3 linked regions of the Caenorhabditis elegans genome follow. The protein of the gene in region 2 interacts with the protein of the main gene of each other region in a pairwise test. Each region holds a gene or a part of one and is shown on either strand. Other genes may lie near its edges.

The links.
Region 1: the proteins of tbx-33 (region 2) and attf-4 interact in a two-hybrid assay, tested with the Caenorhabditis elegans proteins (one large-scale study listed by BioGRID).
Region 3: the proteins of tbx-33 (region 2) and odr-7 interact in a two-hybrid assay, tested with the Caenorhabditis elegans proteins (one large-scale study listed by BioGRID).

What each region holds. Positions count from the first base shown.
Region 1 is NC_003281.10:6,077,771-6,086,455, forward strand, and holds attf-4 (AT hook-containing protein attf-4), read left to right. Parts: upstream 1-2,792; 5' UTR 2,793-2,805; coding exon 2,806-2,904; intron 2,905-4,394; coding exon 4,395-4,499; intron 4,500-5,020; coding exon 5,021-5,453; intron 5,454-5,502; coding exon 5,503-5,712; intron 5,713-5,855; coding exon 5,856-6,440; intron 6,441-6,502; coding exon 6,503-6,660; 3' UTR 6,661-6,978; downstream 6,979-8,685. Other genes in the region: ABC transporter ATP-binding protein/permease wht-1, read right to left, coding at 6,988-7,104, 7,299-7,428, 7,471-7,624, 7,683-7,911, 7,956-8,087, 8,131-8,236, 8,432-8,568, 8,612-8,685.
Region 2 is NC_003281.10:11,631,160-11,639,228, forward strand, and holds tbx-33 (Putative T-box protein 33), read right to left. Parts: upstream 5,682-8,069; 5' UTR 5,667-5,681; coding exon 5,492-5,666; intron 5,363-5,491; coding exon 5,206-5,362; intron 4,522-5,205; coding exon 4,173-4,521; intron 3,905-4,172; coding exon 3,773-3,904; intron 2,697-3,772; coding exon 2,247-2,696; 3' UTR 2,057-2,246; downstream 1-2,056.
Region 3 is NC_003284.9:12,457,490-12,464,609, reverse strand, and holds odr-7 (Nuclear hormone receptor family member odr-7), read left to right. Parts: upstream 1-2,952; 5' UTR 2,953-2,970; coding exon 2,971-3,304; intron 3,305-3,854; coding exon 3,855-4,332; intron 4,333-4,381; coding exon 4,382-4,469; intron 4,470-4,514; coding exon 4,515-4,681; intron 4,682-5,187; coding exon 5,188-5,330; intron 5,331-5,377; coding exon 5,378-5,541; 3' UTR 5,542-5,631; downstream 5,632-7,120. Other genes in the region: T18D3.5 (uncharacterized protein), read right to left, coding at 233-424, 474-582, 698-792; T18D3.1 (WD repeat-containing protein 89), read right to left, coding at 6,973-7,120. UniProt on the Caenorhabditis elegans protein: Required for the function of one pair of chemosensory neurons called AWA neurons that are involved in chemotaxis to volatile odorants. Acts in a pathway that specifies olfactory neuronal fate.

The sequences.
Region 1 (8,685 bases), 5.6 Mb from region 2:
CCTTGAGAGAGGTTATGGGAGTGAAGATGAAGAAAAGTTTTATTTGATTTTCAATGTTTTAATGTTTATTATAGACCTATTTTTTAGTTTTTTATAAAAATATCCTGATTAGACTCCTCCAATTTTCTTCATATCTTAATTTTTAAAAAGTTTCATTAAATAAAGAATCCCCGATTGCCAAAAGCCTCCTTCTGAAACTCCAAGTCTCTCCAATTCTGGCATTATTAATTTAAATGCATAAAATCAAAATTTCTGGAAAAATATATTAAAATTGGATGCACTTTTGTGCTCTTTTCCATTAATTTAACCCATTCTTTTATTTATTAGTTATCGCCTTCTGTCGTGTGTATGTGTGTGTCCAAAACCCTTGCCTCTCTTTCTCTTTCAACCCAAAATGCGTCCATAAAATGTTTGAATGAATTAATGAAATGGGGAGTCGTTTACTACGCTGCGTCTCCTTTAAATCACTTGATCTCTCATTTTCTCTTATATATTTCCAAATCATAAGAAATTTTGAAATATATAGAAATTGAATGACAGAGAGAGAGAGAGAGTAAGAGTAAGAGCAGATGTTTGGCAGTCAGACAACGGGGGGACCGAGGCCCACATTAAAATTGAATGAAAAATTTCGAAAAAGAAAATTTTTATTTTGCATTCACGAGTGGTAGGGGAAAAAGAGGAAACAGCGATTAAATATATAAACATTGAAAACTTTTGGGCGGGGTTTAGTGGAGCAAGTGGGAAAGCTTATGAAGATGTTTGAATTCAGAATGTGAATTTGAACGTTTGGCCTAGAAAAACCAAAACTTCGGCCAGCGATATTTTTTCTTATGTAGGCCAGGATCAGAGCATCCTTTTTTGCTACATGATATAAAAACCTAAACTTCGGGAACTAATTAATTTTTTTCAGCAAACCTTATCTACAGTTTTCTGGATGCAAGATCTTTATTTTTAAAAGAGCTGCCGAGTTCTAGTATTTCTAGACCACTACGTGTGGCAACATTCTTTCTCTTCCTATTTTTAGCTCTATATACCCCGGTTGACTTGATAGGCGAATTTAATTGAGAATTATAAATTTTCCATTTTCCAAAAAGTAAAATTCCAAATTCAAATGTTCTTTCTCCCACTCCAATATTGTAACATACAATAAAATTTAATCCTATCTCTCTTTCCTCTGTGCTTTCCATAACCTCTCTTCCATTTTGCCCGTTGGTGGCAGGCGATGGGCGGGTTTGACATCGTCCTTTAAGAATAATAAAATGTGTCATTTGGTGCCCTCTTTATCTCTATTTCTCTATTCCTCTCTAACTCTCGTTTACAAAACGCCACCTGCTCTCTCTTTCTCTTCATTTGACCCCTCTACTCCCAACACCCAAACAGACACCATCCTTTGTTCCGTTTTTTTTGGTTTTTTGATGGTGGACAGTGGTGATGGACATTTCGTTTTACTCCATGTTTTATTTTATTCTAATGTGCTATGTGTGCAACCAACATCTGCCTTCCACCGGTATAATGAGATTTTGACTAGGGAAGGGTCAACTCATGGTCACGTTGGCGACTCTTTTGGGACTTTTGAGTGAACATTTCTAAATTGTAGATTTTTCGCTATGGCCAGTTGTCAACCCTAAAAATTGGGATTTTCATGGTTTTTAAGGTACTGTTTTTTTCATGCAATATTTCAAATTCAATTATCTACAAACAAAAATATTTTCTGGAAAATATTCAACTGAAAAGCCAGCTGATATTTTCCAGCATTTTGTCAGTTGATAACTTTTTTCTAGCATCACAAAGTTATGATAATTTAAAGACTCTCCACACTTCCAACAGAGGTAGCAAAGAAACGAAAAGCTCTCGCTCAATAGGGTGCTGAGAAGCTAGACTCTGCACTCTCTTTGCAATTCCAGTTAGGAAATTTATAACTAACTAAAAATTGGCAAAAAATATTTTAATATTCTGAATTTATAACGAACTTTTGGCTTCTGGGGTAGTCACTTTGAAAGCTACATTTTGACGCGCCTTTTTTAAACGCCTTTTCGAAAATTTTATTTCAAAATTCGTTTAGTCTTCAGAATACAATATGATTCTGACATTTTTGGCAGAAAATTACATTTTTCACACTCCGTGGGAGGTCTATAAATTCGTTTTATGTTAATCGTGGCCAGTTAAAATTTTCAGCGCGTGCGCCTTGAAACTTTATTTTTCAAAAAAAAAACTTTTCCCCCCGATTACGCCTTCCCCAATTCTCGCCTATTTTGTTACACAAATTTAATTAAAATTTTTTCTAAAATTTTCATTATTTTCTCTTTCCCTCTCTCTTTTTCTGCAAAACCCACCTAGAAAACAATTTATGTGAAATTAAATTGTTATTTACTGCGCAACCGGAAAAATAAAATAAAATTTAAAAATTTGTAAAATGCGAAATCAGCAATTCAAGTATCTCTCTCCCTCTCTTTCTGGTGTCCTCGTCATCCACTACCAGCCACAAAAATAAAAAAAGAATTTCGCATTTTTTATGTGATTCAGAGAAGTGTCTCCCGTATTCGAGTACTATTTTCGAGTTTTGCAATACATCTTATCAAAAATATATGTTTTGGGGTGAAACGGGAAAATAGAAAGAGAGGGACAAGTGAGAGAGCAGAATTTAATATTTTTGATGACTTTTTCAAACAAATTTTTTTTGTTGAAAACTTTTTCCCTCACTTTTTCACATTTCTTATCATTCTTCTTCGCTTTCTCGAAATTTAATTTCATTTTTTAAACGCATTATCAATATGTTATACTTAATATTTCAGATCAACTCAGATGATGCTCCAACCGCCAACTTTAACGCCGAATGCGAATGGTGAAGAGTTCAGAGGATCCGTCAGTACAGATCGTAGTTCAGCTTCTCCTTCCAACATTGACGTGAGTTTGGATTTTCATCGTTTTGATGTGAAAAAAGAACACTATAAAAAATTACAAGACATATAAAAAAATTTTACTGTATGTCTTTTTTCAAACTTGTTCCCATGTCTTACATATTTAAAAACTATACATTAAGCTTGGAGAGAGGTTCAAAATTTTTGAATGTCTGAAAACCTACATGGGCGACCTCTAAAATTTCTAGACTTTAACAACAAAAAAATTGTGTTCTAAAAAAATTTCGCAGTTTCAAAGATGTAACGCAAATACATATATTACACATTTCTCAATCTTTTCTCTTGTTTTCGCACTCGTTTTGCCCGCCTCCCTCATTCATTTTCACAATTTCTCTCTCGTTTATTTTTTGCCTCAAACATCTCAAGATGATTTTTTATTTATTTCGAAGAAACTCGCAATTTCATTTTTTTCAACATTTTTGCCTCGCTCGTTAAATGTAAGAGAAATAGACATATTTTTCGATATGTATTGAAAAAATTGAGGTGAGAGTGAGAGCGATGAAAATGTGCTAATTCAGAAGGCAAACAACTTTTTTTTTCGATATAAAATTTATGAAACATTTTTTTTCGTTTTCCATATTTAGAAGTGCTTTTGGAAAAGGTTTAGTTTTGCCTTTATGCTCACTTTGAAATAAAATTTGCCGCTGTGGGACTCTGTGGGACTCGGAACCACACATATTTTGTTTTCCCGCTCTTTCTCTCCCTTTTTTCTGTTTAACAAAACCTTTTCAAAATAAAAAAAAGAGCACAATTTTCTTTTGGTTTTTTTTTGCGTTGTCCCCACAAGAATTTTATTATTTTATTATCTACACATTACACGATAGAAAATAAAACGTAGCGAAAATATTATCAGTTATCGGAATCGTTAAAATTATTGAAAAATTATAGATGAAAAAAATTCTTCTTCTTTTTCTTTGATAATGATAGGAATTAACAGAAAATTTCAATTTAATGATGATTGTTAGATGCTCGCGGAGCACACGACAATTCCGTAAAAGTGCGCGAACAAACAAACAGACTGTTTTTTTTGTTGAAAAAGCGAACTTTTCCTCCTCCCCTTCTTTCAATTTGTGCTCTCAAATCATTCATTTTTCCTACAAACATAAAAAACCCAATTTCTTTCGATTTTCCGTATTTTTTATGGCGCTCTTCTAAAACCGCACTATTTCTTTTCCATTTTTTTTCAATCAAATATTTATATATTTTTTTATTTATTTTGAGAAGGAAAACGGACAGGGGGGAAGGCGAGGTGGTGGTTGAGCCAGCAGCCCGCTCCCTCTCCTGTCACAGCAGCACCCAGCCACCACATACATACAACCCTCAATTTGAGTGAATTTGTGACCAATTTTCTAAATTTATTTGGTATTTGTTAGGTTGCTGCACGAATTGCTCGAATATAAATATATCTGATACATGAGTTTTTGCAATTCTTATTGATCAAGCTTAAGCTCTTCTCTAATTCTGAAATATTTGTAGGAGATCATGGAAGACGATGTGAATCAGAAGGACGAGGATGAAGATCTGAACTTAGTGGATCGTGTCAGCAAGCTCGAGACAAATTTTGTATTCATTCAGCATCAGGTGAGTGAAAAACTATTAATAAATTATTTTATTTTCTAAATCGAGAATGAAAGAAGTAGAAAAATATATTTGCACAACAATTTCGACAAGTGCAATGTGTAATGCAACAAGTCATAGGTGTCTAGTATTTATTTTGAAAATTTCCAAAAAAAAACTCGACTAGACACAACAATAGGCTTACCGTCCGTCACACATACTATTTTTTTCGATTTTTCACCCGTGGAATTCATTTTCATTTTCATTCACAAAGTTTACATTTGACCATCTCTCTTTCCCTCTGTCGCCCTGTCTCGGGGCTCACGCATCGTATACATACCGGACAGAGGAAGCAGATTGAAGAAGAAGAAGTGAAGACAGCGATCGTCAAATAGTGTGTTTTGTGGGAGGAAATAGTAGAATGATCCAAAAATAAATTAAATGTCAACATTTATTGACGCGGAAAAATGGAAAAAAAATATAATTTTATCGTGGTGTTATGAAATTTAAAATATACATGGACCCATTGAACTGTATGTTTCCAGCTATCCTCTATCATGAACCATCTTCATGCTCCACAATGCAAGTGTACAACATGCTCCAAAGTCAACCAACCTGGAGCTGAAGAGCAGAAGAATGATACATCAGTGCTCTCGCAGCTATTCCCTAATGCTTCTGATCAGCAACTCAAGACTCTCCTCGATCTCTCGAAAATGAACAAGTTGCCATCACAAGTTGTTCACAAGGATCAACAGAACGGATCATCTTTTCTACCATCAGCAAATAAGACCTCTGAAAATCCAAAACCTATTGAACTGAAGCCTCTGAAGCTTGGACAAGGCTATCAGATGGCGAATGGTGGAGGTGGAGGCAAGATTCATACCGAAAGACTCTCAGAACCAGCGAGAAAGCAGAGCCGGAAAGTTGGATTCCCACCACCAGTTGCTTCATATTATCAGAGAAAGGAGAGCTCGAATCGTAAGTTCACTATACAACCACAGCGCAATCTAGAAACTCTAATTTTCAGCTTTGGTCCCGCCAACTCCATTGTCGTCCATCCCAAATCTGATTACAAATTCCAATGCAGTATCAGCCAACACTTCAACAGCTTCACCAGGACCCTCCTCGGAAGGAAGTGGTGATGATCATCTTGAGGCTCCAAATGAGGTGGCTCACATGCATTCTAGTACCGTACCAGCTACACCAACAACTCCAGGAGCCAACTTGTTCACTCAATGTAAGTAGATCCGCATGTTTTTTCTTAAATTTTTGCCAATTTCAATTATGCTAAAGGGAAGGAAATCTAACTTTAAGTAATTAGAGCAGTACTTGAATTATATTTTTTATCAATGCAAAACAAATTAATTTTTAATTTTTCAGCTATGGTCGATATGCTCAAACTGAATGCACAAAACGCTGCTCACTCGACAGGTTCTCCTGGATTCTTACGTGGACGTGGTCGCGGACGTCCAAAGCTTATCGGAGATGAACTTGATGCTGATCTCGTTGACTACATGGTTTCCCTGAAGAACTCAGATCCACATGGTGGCCACTTCACCGCATCTCAGGCCCTGCATATGGCTCGTCAATACATACTCGAAAGAGCTCCAGGCCTTCTCGAAGAGCATGGAGGTCATGTAAAGCTGAAGCTCACCTGGGCGATGAAGTTGGTGTCGAGAATTGGGGAACGACAGCGGGAAATCGAGCTAGGACTTCCAGCCGGAACACTGTCGAATATGGGACGAAACTTGACAAATATACCGGCTGGTGGCAATTTTATGGCTGATATGATGGCTCAGAACATCTTTTCGCAGCATATGATGATGGTGAATCAACAATTGGAAGGTGGATCTCCACCAGCATCTTCTTCATCAACTGCCACGACATCGACAGCCACGAAGACAGTGAAGCAAGAGTCGAAAAATGGACATCAGAATGAGGAAAATTTAAATGTGAAACAAGAAGGTGAGTTGTCACGGGTTCTAGTCCAACTTCACTTGAACCTTCTCTAAAATTATAATTTTCAGCCTCCACGATGCCCGAAATAATAAATATCAAAGAGCTCAATCTTCCATTCCTCAACAACTTCCTTGCCGAACTAAACGACAACAACTCGGGACTGATTGACGGTGAAATTGGTGCAGCAGGTCCATCCATGGCTGCTCTTTTTGCTCCGAACGCATAATTTTTAAAAACATTTTTTTGTTTTATTTTCTTGTTGTAACATTTTACTACTGAACCTCCATTCATCTCAAAACAGACCACCCGATTTTATGGGTATTTTTCGATATATTCTTATTGTCAATTACTTCTACTTTTTCCCTGTCATCACCTCTTCCTATATGTATCATTTTCTACACATAGGCATCACTTTCAACATGTTTTATACTTGCTTTTTTTTTTGATTTTCCAATTTTCCAATTTTCCGGCATCAACATTCACAAAACAAAATATGTTAACAAAATTCAAATTAACAGTATTCAAATAAATTATACAATCAAATATTTCCTTTTCAAGTATTATTATAGGAACGGATGAGAAGTGCCACGTAGGCAATTATGCGAATTCCGATGAACATTCCAAACAGAATTGAAATATCAAAAATTTTATGCGAAGCCGAGAAATCGATCTGTAATTTTAAACCATAAAAGCTTGAACAATGAAAGTTCCACCTCGTTGTGAAAAACTTCTTTTGAGCATTATTCGATGTTCAGAAAATAAACACCAAAAAGTCTACGATTTAGTTTGGTTAAGTAATCCAACACTGAGAAACAGATTTTTTAAATGTTCCTAAATTAATTTCTAATAATCCAAAACACTAACCGATTCCAAAACTTGATGCCCATTTTTTGGGCAGCTATCCAACGCAAACGCAGTCATTGAACTATTGAAACACTCCGGAATCACTTTGATCGAATCCCATTCATTGATCGCGAGAGCTTCATAACCGTATCTAAAAGATTTGTTATTATATAACACAAATCATCATGTTTACTTGAAATAAGAGAGCGAAGAGAGCCATTTAAAGTAAGATGGAATGGCGTCAAATGTTATGAAGAATCCTCCAAACGCCATAATTGGAACTACAAAGATTGGAAGTATTGTCATGGCTACATCAGTGTTGGCAAAGATCGTTGCGACAGCGTAAGCTGAAAAGAAAAGAATGAAGCAGCTGTCATCTCACAGGTCAAACTGAGCACAGCTTACAAATGGAAATTGCCACGTTTGTAATCAAAATTGTTACCAGCGACGCGAAGCAATAGTTCCAGAAGTTAGGATAGAGCCCAGACATCCAGTAGACAATTGTATTGTATAGAATTGGAAGGATTATGTATTGAGGGAGTTCTGCAATGTTTTTCGCAAGAAAATATGCACTCGTTCGATACACTCCATTTGCATTTTCTCGGAGTACAATTGGAAGTTCTGCCGTAATAACCTGAAGATTAATTCAAATTCTGAAATTAATTGGCTGCCTGGTACCGGAACATTTGGGAATTGAAGCATAAAGTTCATATTTCGAATGTGGTTGAACATTATTCCATTTATCGATATTATCGTAGCAGGTGTGACTGGAGTTTGGAAGAATACTATACCAGTTATAAATGCAGTTATCTATACAACAATATAAATAGTAATAAAGCAGTGACACACTTACAAGAATTTGAAGTAACCTGACAGAAAGCAGATTTGGATCCCGGATTACTGTCAGCCAAGATCTCCAAAAAAGAGCAAGAAATTGTGTCCAAAATGATGCATTGTAGCTGAAATTAAAAATTTCCGAAGTAATACTATTGAAGTAATACTATTGTTAAAGCATTTCTCCTATCTGTGATGTTTAAGCACCAAACAATGGAGTTCAAATCAAGATTCAAAAATGTGATAGGCAGGCAGGTAGGTGTAAATGATAGGCAGGCAGGTAGGTGTAATACTTTTGATGTCAAATTTTTCCAACTCACTCTTGATTAAAAAACGTTTTTGTTTTCTCAGATGTATCACTTCCTGTTACAAATGACGCTGCTCGAAGTTTGTTCGCATTTCCAATTGCTAACACCGACTGGCCCAAGTCCGTAGACAAAAATCCTTGGCGAATTTTCTTAAAACAATTTTATTGAGTTGTATATCTTTTTGATTCTCACCGAAATAGTTTTCATGGAAGTTGCTCGATCACTATCAATTACGGCCAGAGTCCTTATCAGATGATCCGCAGGAT
Region 2 (8,069 bases):
TGAGCATAAGTTTTGAATTTTAATTTGAATTCAGCAAGCCATGAGCTTTGATTTTGAAAAAAAAATCATACAGTCGAACAAAATGGAACAATGGGAAAAACGAAAAATGGGAAAACAACACAAATACATACACATTTTTTCCGTTGAAAAGTGATAAAATGTTTGTAATCGATTCGGAAACACAGAGGGGGGAGAACAAAGGAGACGAGATGCTTTTTACACTGATAACAATCAAATCATTGGAAATTGTATGTTGCAGCAGCCAAAGTATATTATGCAGCTTGAAATGTAATTGAACCCAAGCCTGGCCTGAGTGGTGGGGTTTTGAGGGCAGTTTTTTAGGGGTTTTTATTCAAAAAATGAGGAAATAACTTGCATGAACATGCTTGTTTTAATAAAATCTGGATTCAGCTTGCCTAGAGCTTTAAAATAAGTATAATCATGACTAGGTTTGAAGCAATATGGGTCCCACCACGAATTTTCAGGGTACTGTAGGGAGTAATCGTGGTGGGACCCAAAATGAACGGAACCTAGCCATGATTATATGCATATTAAAGCTCGTGACAATTTGACTTTGATTTTCACAAAAAAAAGTTGTTTAAACATTTTTTATTTTTTTGTGAGTCAAAAATTTCAATTGCAAAGTTTCGGTTACGGTAGGTTTTTTCGAAATATTCGTAAATTATTATTCAGGGAATCCTAGAAAAAATTAGATAATCTTTTTCCAAATCAAAATCGCATCTCGGAATGTTAAATCTACTTGTCAAGAGCTTTAATTCAAGTATAATAATTACTAGATTTGCTCCATGTTTGGTCCCGCCACGAAAACCTACAGTACCCCGGACTTCGTGGCGAGAACCAAATTTCCAAAAAAAAACAGAAACCCGTGGTTGTCACTAAAAACGTCTACACTTGCCTCATTATATCGTAATGTCGAGACTATTTAATTTGAGATAAAATCTAAACAAATTCCCGTTTCCCACCCCCTGTCTCCTTTGAAATTTTGATTTACGACTCCGATAAAAGGCGCAACGCAAAAAATATGTAGAATTTAGAAAAAAAGAAATTAAAATAAAAAAAAGAAATTTAAAATTCTAGAATAAAATTTTTAAAACTTCATGGGAAAAGCTTTCAAAAAGTCTTTGAAAAAAAATTTCAAAAAATTTTTTTTAGAATTTTTTTTTGTTATTTCAAAAAAATTTTTCACTCAATTTTCTTGATTTTTTTTAAACTTGCCCAAATCTATGCTTTAAATTCTGCACAAAAACATTTGTTTAAATTTTTGCTTCCAAAATTTTTAAAACCACGTACTAAAGAGTACTAAAAAAAGAAGAGTGACAAATTAAATGTTGACCTTCTAGAAAAGGAAGATGAGAGAAATGGAAATAAAAAGGGGAATGCTATCAGATTACATTAATCAAATTAACACCGATTGATATGGGGTTACGCCATGGCCTCCTTTTTTTAAATAATCGTGTCTGTTAGGATAGTGAGGTGGCCGAATTAAACAAATATATATATCGGTGGCCAAGTTTTTGAATTTCCCGCAAAAAATTGTTTTCTTAGAAAATTGTAATTTTCCGCCAAAATGTTTTCTAACACGTGGTGTCAGAGTATCTCATTTCGGCTTGATCTACGTAGATCTACAAAAAATGCGGGATAAGAGACGCAGACATCCCAACTGATTTCGCATGGTTAAGAGCTTGTTGACGTCACAATTTTTTGATCAAAAACTTCCCGCATTTTGTAGATCAAACCGTAATGGGACAGCCTGGCACCACGTGTTCTAAAAAAAATTAGAATTTTCCTCCAAAAAAATTTTTTCAGAAAATTTGAATCTCCCGCCAAATCTCTTTTCAGAAAATTTGAATTTCCCGCCAAAATTTTAAAAAAATTTTGATTTTATTACTTTCAAAACTTGAATATTGAAAGTTTTTTTTTTAATTTAGAGTTTCCAATTAAAATTTTTAGAAATTTTATACTTTTAATTAGACATCCCCAAAGTTTTAATTAAATTCTAATTTAATTTTTAAAATCAATTTAAATCCAAAAATCTATTCAAAAATGAAGTTTATTTTAAAAAAAAAAGCAACACGGGACGATGAAATTATTGAAGTTGGCTAGATAAAAACACTGAAATAAGAAAAAAGCGGAAAGAAAACGGTTATTCAACATAGAAATCGACAAGTTGCTTTTTTGACAACGTTTTTGAAGGAAAAAGTTAATAGTGAGATAATAATTAATAATTACATGTATTGGTTCATTTCAAGTTTAATCTGATTTTGAGAAGCCTCTGGTGACGTGGCTGTTGGCTGAAGTGGCGGTGATGATGTCGCAGAGTCGAATGAGCAAAATGAGTAGTCAGTTGACATTGAAGGAATCGGATTGTAGCACATTTGTTCTGGAGTTGATGACGTCACGTTGAAGGAACTGTACGCCGAGTCGAATGACGTGGAAGGTGTCATTGGAGCAAAGTTGCTGGATGGGGATGAGGTGCCGGGGTACTGCAGTGGAGCATGGAAATTGGTGCTTGGAGCAGTTGTGGAGACACTGGTGCAAATCATAGATGGTCTGAGGGATTCCAGCAAGGACTTGTTGGATGATCTCCATTGCTTTCCGACCTGAACGGCTTCCTGTTTGGCGTCTCCGCGAGAAGTTGGGTTGGCGGCTGTGCGCAAGGCTTTTACGATGTGGTTCTGGAAAATTATACAAATTATAGATAGGATTTAAAATAAATTGAAGCATAATTTTTTTTTTTTTGCTTTTTCGAAAATTTCAATGTTTTGTTTTTTTTTTGGTGTAAAATTATTTTTTGGTCCCAGCCTTGATCATGATGAAAATCAGAATTTTTTTGGTTAAATCTTTAAAAAAAAAAGAAGTTTTAAAAGACTAATTATCGAATTTTTTATCGACAAAAAATATGGAAACTGTAGAAAATTTGTTGATTATAAAAATGACCGGAAGTTATTGGAAATTTGTTTTTTTTTAAAGAAATTGTAAAAAAAAATTTTAAATAAAAAATTGTGAATCTTTCTAAAATTTTGTGGAATTTTTGTATCCATTTTTTAGAAAAAAAACAGTCCAAAAAATATTAAGGAAAACGAAAGAAATTCCGAAAATTTTTAAAATTGACTTTTTTCGGCAATACAAAAAAGCGAGAAAATTGTAGAAATTAGTAAGTATAAAATTTGTGAATTTTTTGAATATACGGCAATAACCGAAAAATATTGTAAATTTAAATTTTCCAAATTTAAAGATTTTTATTTTTCAAAAAATATTGAAAACTAGGAACTTGGCGATTTTTTTTTTAATTTTGTTCGTTTTTTTTTTAAATATTTTCAGCGGTTTTTTTTTTGAATTTGTTTGAAATTCTAAATAAATTTAGCAAACGCTGAATTTGTTCCATTGTTAGAAAGAAATTCAAAAATAAAGTAGCAACAATGTTTCAATTTGTAACATTTTTCAATTATTTTTTTATGACGATTTTATAGCTCAAATTCATCATCTTATATCTCAATAATTTTGAGCTGTATCAAAAAATTGTCAACTAGCAAAATGCTTATCATGTATTTTTCTATAACTTTGTAATTGAGCATTTGTTTTTATCTTGTAAACAAACAAAGATATAAGTTGGCAAAATTTTGGGATTTTTTGAAAATAATTTTTTATCGATTTTTTTCGAATTTTTTTGAAAGAAATTTTTTTCTCATAGCCAATTTTAATTACTAACTCTTCTAATTTTTTATCAAGCCTTATAGCCTTATAGTCTTACCTTGTATGAAGAAACTGTCGCAAATTGGGTAATCTCGTTCTCAAATTCCCCAACCAATCGAAGCTCTTGATTTGGTAGAATCTCGTTGATGATGAGTACCGGGATGTACTTGCACTCATTTGATACCTCGAGCTGCAAAAAATTTGAATTATTAGTTGTTAATGATTTAGGTTATTCTTAGGGTTAGGATTAGGCATAGGTTTAGGCTTAGGGTTAGGCTTAGGATAAAGCTTTGGCTCACGCTTAGGTTTAGGATTAGGTATAGGTTTAGGCTTAGGGTTAGGCTTAGGGTTAGGCTTAGGCTTTGGCTTTGGCTTAGGCCTAGGCTTAGGGTTCGGGTTAGGCTTTGAATCAGGCTTCGGCTTAAGATTACGCCCGCCCACATTTTGGCAGTACCTACCATGGAGGTCTTCTTCTTCGAATACTGAGTATCATACTCTCGTTTCTCTGCGTCACTCATCTCTTCATATGGAGTCACTTTCTTCTTATTATCACTTCCAATATTAAACACCTTCACATCTGATAAATCCAAGCCGGTACGCATGATATCTTGTCCAGTGAACTCTCCAACAAATACTTTTTCTGTTTTCATTGCAATAGTCTTCTTGCTCTGTACATTCTTCCGGGACCAGCTTCCATTTGAATATTGAATCTGATAGGGGACCATTCGGCGGAGCAAAATTTCCACTTTGTAGTTGGATTCTGGATTGAGATGCTCGACTTTGTAGTTGAGGGCTGGGAAGATTTTTCTGGAAAAAATTGGTTTTAAATAAAATTTAAAAAAAAAAAATAAATAAAATTTTGGCTGAAAATTTTGCAAATTTGTTCAGACAAAATTATCCGATATAACTTTAGAAACAAGAGAAAATTTTCAAAGTTAAAAAATTAATTTTCGATTTTTTTTCAGAGAAACTATTACATTTAAGATTTTTTTCCCGAAAAATAAAATTTTGGCGGAAAATTTTCAGATGAATTTTTAAATTTTTTATGAAATTTGATCCCTAAAAAAATAAGTAAACATTGAAATTCTTAGGACAAAAAAATTTTGCAGAAAATTTCGCCCTTTTTTGACTAAATTTTTAGATTAAAATTTTCCGAAAATTGTTTTTTAATAAAAACAAATGTTGGTTTACTTTTTTGAACGTTTGTTTTTGACTTTAAGATTTTCGGAAAATATAAGCAAATAATATGTTTCTTTGGAGAATTGTAAAAATTTAAAAATTATGAAAAAATATTTTTTTAAATCCTTTTTTACATTTTTAAAATTTCAAAAATTTTCCAAAAAAAAATTTTTGCCGAAAATTTTGCTCATTTTTTTCAGACGAAATTTTCAGGCAAAAAAAATTGAGCAATTTAAAAAAATTTTGTACATCAGATTCAGAAAATTTCAAAAATTTTGAAACTAAATAATATTTTTCACGAAAAATACTAACCTCCCATTATTAAGCACATTCTGCTCATTACTCAAATAATGAAGCTCCTTCCAGAGGTCCTGTGGGTCCTGCAAAGTGACCGTCACAATTTTTGGCTGATGTGCATACTGATTCTGGTAGGTGAATGGGTCCGAATATCCTCCTTGGAAATTTTGGTCTGAAATTTTTTTAAAATTTGAACCTGTTACTAATATATTGCTATTATAAAGTTACTATTTTGCCCGAAATTTACAAAACAAATTTTTTTTTCGATGCACCATGATTTCAAAAAAAAAATTAAACTTACGATATTGCTGAAACATCTGAATCTGCTGCTGCATATCCCATGGAGCTTGGAAGTTCTGCCCGTAACTCATTTTTTGGAATTGCTCCGGAGTTGGCATTGGGTACCCGTAACTCATCGGTGGAACATTTTCCTGATTCTGCATTTGATAGGCGTTTTGTTCGTTTTGATAATTCATCTTTGGGGATAAGTTCTGAAAATAAATATATATATATATATATATAAAATATTTAAATAAGGCCAAAACGTCAAAAAAAAAACGAAAATTAAGTTAGAAACAATCTTATAGTTAGTCTACACTCTTTTTTGCGGAAGGAGGAATAGAAGACAAGAGGGCCCATAAAAAGCGGGAAAATGGTAGGTCAAATCGGTGACGTGGCAGTCAAAAAGTGGAGATGTGCGGAGGAAAGGGGCCTGTTTATTTGACATTAGATTTGGAGAAAAATTAAGAGTATTCCAGATTAAAATAATTTTTTGAAAAAAATAAAAGTTCCAGGTTGGCTCAATTTCTGAAAATTTGAAAAAAAAATTCCGATTTTTTTTTTCGAAAATTCTGAAAAAAAAAATCATTTTACGCGAAATTTTGCAATTTACGCCCGATCTCGACATGAATTTTTTTGTCAAATTCAAAAAGGTGTGTGCTTTTAAAGACTACTGTAATTTTTATTTTCGGTAAAATTTATGAGTTTTTGTACTTAGTACATGTATTTTTTAATCGAAAGAACTAGGGTGAAAATTCCAACAAAAAAAATATTTGTCGTGTCGAGACCCGGAACCATGATTTTGGACGTTACAATTGGAAAACTCGGTAAATAAATGTTTTCTTGTAAAAACAATAGGTTTTTGTTTTTATAATTTAAAAAAATATAATAAATTTTGAAAAATGTTTGAAAAAAAAGAAAAAAAATTCTACTTTAGACATTGAAATGTTTAGAAAAGTAAAAAAATATAATGAATATTTAGCAAAAAAGCTAAATTTGATCTACCAGGACCACAACAAAAAACAAGAATGACTACTTTAATATTCCAGCCACCGAACCATCTATATCCACTGGGCGGAGCAGTAGGCTGTCAGGTAAGTAGGCGGAACTGGTATACTTGGTACCTATTGATTGGGAAGTTAGGGGTCACCTCTATTAGAAGAGCATGTCAGGGAAATTTGGTAAAAGAAGAGAGTAGGTAAAAGAGAGAAAGATACGGAAAAAGTATACCGAAAAAGTATACAAAAAAATGAAAAAAAAAAAAAAAAAAAAACGTAAAAGTAGCTACGTCGAAACTTAGCAAGTTACCATATTTTCGTGAATTCCAAAATAATTTTCGCAGGTCTTCCAAACACCCATGCCTACATTCATGCCTGCAGACCTACACTTGCCTACGGGCCTACGCCTGCCTACATACCTGCACGTGCCTGCGGATTTACGCATGCTTATAGGCCTAATGTCTATAAGCCTACAAACCTACTCCTGCCCACAACTCGAACTGACCTACCCCATCATACAGTCCTGAACCTGCTTATCTAAGCCGAAGCCTGCCAACAGACCTACGCCTACTTACTTACCTTTACAAGTGCCTACAAACCTGCAACTGCCTCAAGATCTACGCAAACTTAGAGACCGAATGCCTGCAGACCTACACTTTCCTATAGACTCAGGCCTGTCTACAAGCCTATGCATACCTGAGGGCCTTTGCGCCTGCCTGAAGGAATATGCATGCCTATTGACCTACGTTTTTTGCAAACCTACGCTCACCTACTAAAGCGCCTACAGCCGTAAATCTGCCTAGAGACTTTTTTTACATTGAAATGCGAAAAAAACCAATTCAAACGTATCTCCACAGTCGAAACTCCAAATTGCAGAAGATAGGTGGTAGGCAGGCACGTAGGCATAAATTAAAACGCACATTTTAGAATTTATAGCAGGAAAAATATATAAGAAATCAACCAAAAAAATCGTAAAACAAGACAAAGATATTCAGAACAACATCAACATCTCTCCACATGTTTACAATCAACTGTATACCCATTAGTATACACGGGGACTCTATACGGTTGTAAAATATATAGCTAGGTCAGTCAGTGGTGCACATGGTTTTGAGACACTGGAATATATCCAAATATCGATTCTTTGTCATTTCCGGAAAAAAAAACGTATAATGTTTTCAGTGAATTTTCCATCACAATTGAGGCCTGTAAAAGCGTTGTTTTTGCCGGTTTTAATTATTCTAAAGAGATTTTTAATTGACTTTTGAAATGCACAGTATTTTTTGAGTCAAAAATACATAGTTTCCAGAAAGTTCAAATAGTTATAAAATTATTACACGCCTTCAAAAATCCAATTGTACAAGCCTCGAAAATAATAATAAGCTCAGTTCAAAATTTAAGGGGTTGAGAGCAAGGCTGTGGCGCTTGAAATTTCGCAGTGTTATACCTTAATTGGGGTCTTTTAAATAGCTTTCCATGGTAGAATATACTTTTTTTTTGGAAAATTCTCGAGTTTGGCAATATCTTTTTAGGCACAATCATTTCCCTGGGAATTTTTGGAATTCCCCAATTTGACTAACTAGTACAATGTATGATATTTTT
Region 3 (7,120 bases), on a different chromosome or scaffold from region 2:
TTCCAGAATTGCTTAAATTTTATTTTCAGATCATAACCTTTTAGATTTTTGAAAACTAATGATCCAACGTTTTTAAATTATTTCAAATTTTCAAAATTCAAAACATTTTGTAGCTATATATTAGACGTAAAACAAAAACTGCACATGTTCTTTTAACAAAACAAATTCCCTTAGAACAACACTATTTATTAACGTTCCCAACTAAAAACTAAAAAAAAACAAAATCAAATATTCAAGGAATTTTCTCGGAAGGTTTGTTTTCCTCATAATAATCGCAGCATCCATCTGAATCCAGATCTCTTTCATATTTCTCGCAAAGTTTCTGGAACATGTCATTGAAGTCTTTTTCAACACGTTCCAAATGTTTATTAGTTTGTTTCCGACTGAACCGATGAGAAAATTCTCCCTCTGCAACCAACGTGACCTGAAAATATGAGTTGAAATTTTCGATGATACAAAGTGATTCAACAAACCGATTCACCGACGTAAAAGTCGTTCATATGACGTAATGCGAAGCAGAATAAAAGACACAGAATTACAACGAGCCAAACGTCGGAGTTGTCACGAGATGCTTCGTTTTCTCTGGAACAGATTCAAAAATTTATTTATTCGAAAACAATTATGAACATATTGGTTCAAAAGAACATTGACGAAAAGTTAAATGTATAAATGTATTACATTTTATGTAATGAATTACCTAGGGGAGTGCTGCTCATCTTGAGCGTTAGCCAGTGTAATTGAAAGGATTATTATAATAAGCAGGCAGGTGAGACAATTGCACAATTTTCTCATTTCAAATCAACTACCGAGGATATGTGGACAATGCTGAGCTTTCGCCATTTTGACATTTCCGCAAATAGTCTCTGACTGTTTATTTGTTGAAGAAAATAACTGATAGGCAACTGAAGTTAAGCTGTTAATTTTTATAGGCTATAATAAATAGAACTTCGAAAGATGGAATACAAACTTTCAAAAATATGCGGTAAAGCACTTTTTTTAATTGATAAAGTAATTGGTAAACTTAAAAAAACTTACTTCAGGGTTGTCAATATTGGCTGAAGAATATTAACTTTCAATCAGAAAGATGTAAACAGAAGTTGACAAATATTTTGAAATGCAAAATTTATTTATAACAATTTTTACAGTACTCAAAACGAAATTGCAATAAAAAAATAATTTTAAACTAGCTTATTTGATTCCACACCTTAGATGCCCTTCTTGTCAGTGTGCTAAATTTTTTTTGATTACTGCCAGAAGTCTCCCAACAGTTTCGAAGTATTTTTAAAATTTGACATTTTTGTAGATTTAAATCAAAAAATAAATATGATTTTCCAAGTTGTCGTCACTATCTTGTTGGCATTTAGTGAAATAAAACTACCGACAAAAAATATGTTCACGTAAAAATATATAAAAAATCAGAATAACTGATATGTTCAAAAACGTTGGTATTAAAGTTTATTGTGCAAAGTTGTAGTCTATGAAATGTTTGGTGATGTCAAGTTTCGGGAAAAAAACCACCTCCGATTGTTAAGTCTAATAATTTCTAATCAATCAATGTGTAAAATTTAGAAATAATTTATTTCAGAAACTTCATGATTGGCAGATGACGTTGTTACCTTCACTGAGCCCCTTATTCCTACGGTAGGTGCTCGCCACGCCTCTTCACACATCTTCTGCGATTGTTTTCGAGTTATCACCAATTTGACTCCTACACTATTTTCCGCTGTATTGAATAACAAAATATCAGTTTCCATCCCAATCAATACTAAAACTGTGTATCCAGTTTGGTCAGCTTCCGGTCAGTTTTGAACATTCTGTCTTTATTGTCCGCTACCGTCCCCGCTCGTACAACATTTTGTGTTTGTCCACAAATTATTGTGATTGCTCTTGTTGTTGTGCGCCCGTGTAAATGCCAATTTTTGTCTGTGTGACTATAAGAATTGAAGTATACGTACTGCAAAATGGCATCCTGGATTGTAACCAAATAGGGAGGAAGATACAAGAAAATGTATCGAAATATTACATTTTTCTTCCGAGATCATATAAATCGACACATTCATGGTTCGAACAAGTTTATATTCGTTCATCTCTTTCTAGGTTGATGTTAGATTTTCTGCTAGAAATTCTTAAACTACCAAGTGTTAGAAGACTTGTGTGGTTAATACAAACTTTATAGACTCATCCCAACCTTAATTCCAAAAAGCCTAATCGTAAAGTAATGGCTCAGAATTTTTTGATTTTGTAAACTCAAATTCTGAGTCGTCCCTTCTTCTATCCAACTTTTGATCATGAAAAATTATTATGATCTGTTATGATTATACCTGTACCGCGCACAAAATCAGCTTACTAACAGTGTTAAAATGCTCCACAAAACATTTTTAGCATTAAACAGAAAACCTGATTTAGTTATTAAGTATACATTTCATCACCGTTAACAGTAATATTTAAGACGATTTATTATTAAAACAGCAAAGGAAATGAAGGTTACCTTATAAAACTAAACATTCTCATTTTTGTTTTAAAATCAAAGCGTTTTTTTCATAACCTTCTTTGAATTCTTTGTGTTTTTTCAATTCTCAAAAAATCTTTATCATTTTTCTGAAAACTAAACCAAACGAATTAAAAAATTTTACTCACATGTTAAAACCATTTGTATCTTCGACTACAAATTTTGGCCATTTTGTTTGTCACAAAAATCCGTTTCTGATTGAGCTACGGTAGATACAATTTGCATAATCTAACAGATTCTCGGCGTTTTGAGATATCGGGAACCAGTTAGATCTTTAAAACGATATCTATTTTGGAATGCACTTTTGAGATTTGGATACAAAAGTTCATTCTGATCAAATTGACACTGGAGGTCTTGTTAAATTATTTCAATAACACTGACATCTTCTGGTTTTACTCTTTCTTTTGAAAACGGCATAACAACATTTTTTTACAATATATTACAGCTATTTCCTTTCAAAAATGATAGTACCGGACACTGAGGGATTGTTAATTTATTCGTATGGACTGATGTACGGTTCATATTGTATGGCATGTCAAATGTTGATTCCACACTTTCAATGCATACCCGGCATTTTTCCAAACTTTAGAATTTCAACTGAACTCATCAAGACTATGACGGATAAATTGGAGCAACCGAACAACAACGTTCCTCAACAGCCATGGGGCCCTTTTCCTCCTGCATTCGGTGGCCGGCCAAGTGGTGAACAGACTGATGGAAATCCAGGAGAGTTTGATAATGATGCTGCACATCAACAAACGGCTCCGTTCATGACTCATTTCTTTCCAAGAATCGGTGAGATGTTTGTCAGAACAAAACTAGGGCTGTGATTCGTTTTTTATTGATTTCCATTTAAGTCAAAAAATTTCAAGAATTCGTAATTGTATGGCTGAAATTTTTTGTAAGTGGGATCGATCAGTACATTATCACTCAGTTTACATATAATTTGAAAAAAAAAACGAAAAGTAATTGCTAAAAGTACTCACCAATTTGCCGAAAAATCTCTACCAACTTTAGCAATGCCCATTCCAAAATTGAGCAACTTTAGCAATGCCCACTGCAAACTTTAGAAAAGTTGAGTAAAGTTGGTTAAAGTAGGAGATGATTTAAAAGATACTACAATTGGGAGAAAAGCTGCGAGATAGTATGGTTCGTTATAAAGCTGCTAGTGTTTCTTGAGAAAATGCGGCAAATGGTCGGTCATTTGAAATACTTCAAACTAGAGCTGCAATCTCTGTCATATTTTAAGTTTGGGAAAATTAATAAATACTTACCCAGCTCAGGATAAAAGTTTCTGGATATATATCTTTTCTTTATTTTCTGATCTTCATTTTTTGAATTTCAGGACTTCAATTCCCAGACTTTACCGAGTACCAGCGTTTTAATGGCTTCCAACGAAACGCATTCTTCCCTAATCCATTCGGATCTCAGTTCACAGGCCAAGCATTTGCACAGTCGTTCCCATTGCACAATTCAATGACTACCATGGATGGTTTCAATTTGACACATGCTCCTCACCCGTTTTCAACAAATACAAACTCTACAAAACCTAAGGACATTGAAAACACGGTTCAAAGTACAATCAAACACAGTTCGGAAAACATCCAGGATAAGCCACCAGTGTTGTCTGTGGAATACCCTGTTAAATACGATTCTGAACTGAAATTTGACGCAAATGTAGATTTCACAGCAGTTCCTAAACAGGAGTCTTCAGACGATTCAACTCTAAAAAATCTCAAAAAATCAGACCAACAGCTACAACAACCGCAACAATTTACATTTCCACCTCCATTATTAGCGGAGAAATCATTTGAGCAGCCCAGGTAGATCGACTTTTAAAGACAGTTGTAAAATATCAACTGATAAGTTTAGAATGCGAGAAGACGTTTTACCTTTTCATCCACAATTCTATCCGGCACCACTTGACATGGGCACAAACTTCAAGCAAGAAATGAGAACTGTAATCTCTTCACAATTAACAAAATCTAAACACCAAAAATTTCAGCCACCAATCGACGGGCACATTGATTACAGAAAATTTGATGCTAGCGGAAAGAGAATGGAGTTTCAGCCACCGGGTGCTTTGCATGACTGTCAAGTGTGTTTGTCAACTCATGCTAACGGGCTTCACTTTGGAGCCCGTACATGCGCCGCATGTGCTGCGTTTTTCAGGTAAGAAAGCTCATAATGCAAGTGTATTTAGATGGCCTTTTGCTGTTTGAGACTTGAGAACTCTAGAAAACGTCTCAAAAAAAAACATTTTACGGTTTTTTAAAATATTAGATAAGCTTAGCTGAAATCTTTGATTTAAAAACTTTGCGTGTCGCAGCGATTGAAGGTTAATTTTAATTGTTTTGTAGTTAAATGAACAGAATTGAAACAAAAATCAATTTGTCAAGCGCGTCAAAAATTTTTGTAATATTCGCAGCTTTAAGGATTACTTTTTTCTGACTTTAAACCATCTTATAACTTTTTTCAAAGTATCATATTAAAACAATTATCGCTACTACATTTTTGATGATGATTTGTTTTGATGTTTTGAATGCTTGTAAATGTTAAAACACACTGTTTAATTTTATTTCGTTGTCAATGCTTCAGTTCAAACCAGTATGACTCAATAAAGCCTGTGTGCTACACAGAAAACTGTTAAGTTAAAAAACCCCATCATAAAATTTCAGAAGAACTATCAGCGATGACAAACGATATGTCTGTAAGAGGAACCAACGGTGCAATAATGCAAGCCGCGATGGAACTGGGTATCGGAAGATTTGTCGGAGTTGTCGAATGAAACGATGTCTGGAAATTGGAATGCTTCCAGAAAGTTGGTTTTTTTTTGTCAAATCATAATGCTCACCAAATTTATGTCAGATGTGCAGCACAAGCGAAATCGTCGAGATTCTGGATCCCCGCCTCGTAAAACTCCATTTGACACTTTCTTCAACGGATTTTACCCCTCATTCCAACCTTCTGGATCAGCAGCTCAACCGATCACTGTATCCTCAAGTGAATCACCTCGTCACACAACTAATTGAGCGTGATAATTGTTTATCTTCCGATCTCAAAGCATAAGTTCCAGTTCTATTATTACCGATACTCACAATGTGATTCAATAAAAAATAATTTACTTCGATCTGGAAAGGGCTAAGGCAGTTCTTTCATAAAACGTATTGAAACAGTAAAAACGGTCCCCAGTATGTAAAAGAAACATCGATCTGATCAGTCATACTATTTTTCTAATCAATAGTTTTTTTTTCAATTAGATAGTGTTTTAATAGTAAGTTTTTCTAAAGTCAGGAAAATAAATATCAAATAATTATCTGATTTTTTAAATGTAAAATTGGAATAACGAGGCAAATATTTTGAAAACATTTTTTTTGTTTTCTGTGTAGAACAAGTTTTGTTTTAAATGATATCATATAACCAATTTCATTTAACAGTAATTAACTAATTTAAAGATATTAGGCGTCGTGGTTACAATTACTGCTTTTTGGTTATAATTCTTTTATGAACATTTGCACATACTGTTTAATTTAATTTTCATTGCAACTTGGCTAACGGAGAATGCTATTATCTTCTTACTTTTGTAATAATTATTTTGTACAACATGTGTAGTTGAAATTTTGAAGGAACACAGCAACCAATGACAGTATTGAATAAGAAACTCGTACTCAATTTGAAAGATACTTTTCTATATTTGCTTTATTGCGCGCTGTGATGCAATTTATACGGAAAAACCTGTCTATATGTTGACTTGCGATAGTTTTCCCTGTCGTTGATGACAATCGCAAAGACCTAAATTCCGTGGAATGTTCTACCGGGAATCTCAACATCCAATTGACACCTGTTGTCATCTGGGGGTATAGCTCAGTGGTAGAGCGCTCCCTTAGCATGGGAGAGGGCTGGGGTTCAATTCCCCATACCTCCATAAGTTTTTTGCATTATTAATCGAGTTCATTTACATAAAGGCAAACATCTATAGCAGCACTCTAGCACTCTGGTAGAATGGTGTTATTGGAAGTTAAATGAAACTAAATATAATAATAATAATTGTTAGACTCAGATTTTTTTTCTTAATAATTGTTAGACTCAGATTTTAATGTAAAGTGTTATTCCAACATAAGTGGTTAAGACTAATTTCAAAGTTTTACCCATTTTTCAATTGCAATTTATTCAACAAAAAATAGACTTTTAGGTAGATCTGTCTGAGGAATGCTCAATAAATTTGAATCATGGGGATCAATAGTTGCAAGGAGATCCGAGACTGAAAGTAAGACTGGTGTAAATTTAACAAAAAATCAATAAAGAAATGCTTGGGATGAGCGAAATTTTGTTCTATGATATTATAATTTCAATAAATTATAACTTAATTTAAATGGGCGAAAAATGATAAGGCTTTTGGGAGAAGAACTGGGGTTGAAAGTGATAAATAAATAAATAAATATAAAACAAAAATTATGAATTGCCTATGGAGCTTTGGACCGTTTAGAGCTCGATCCAGCTCCCTCTTCATTGTCGCGGTGTCTTTTCTTTTGCTCATCGTGTTCCTTCTCTTTTCTCTCCTGACGCTCCTTTTCTTTCTTTTCCTTTCGCTTACGTTCCGCGCGTTCCTCC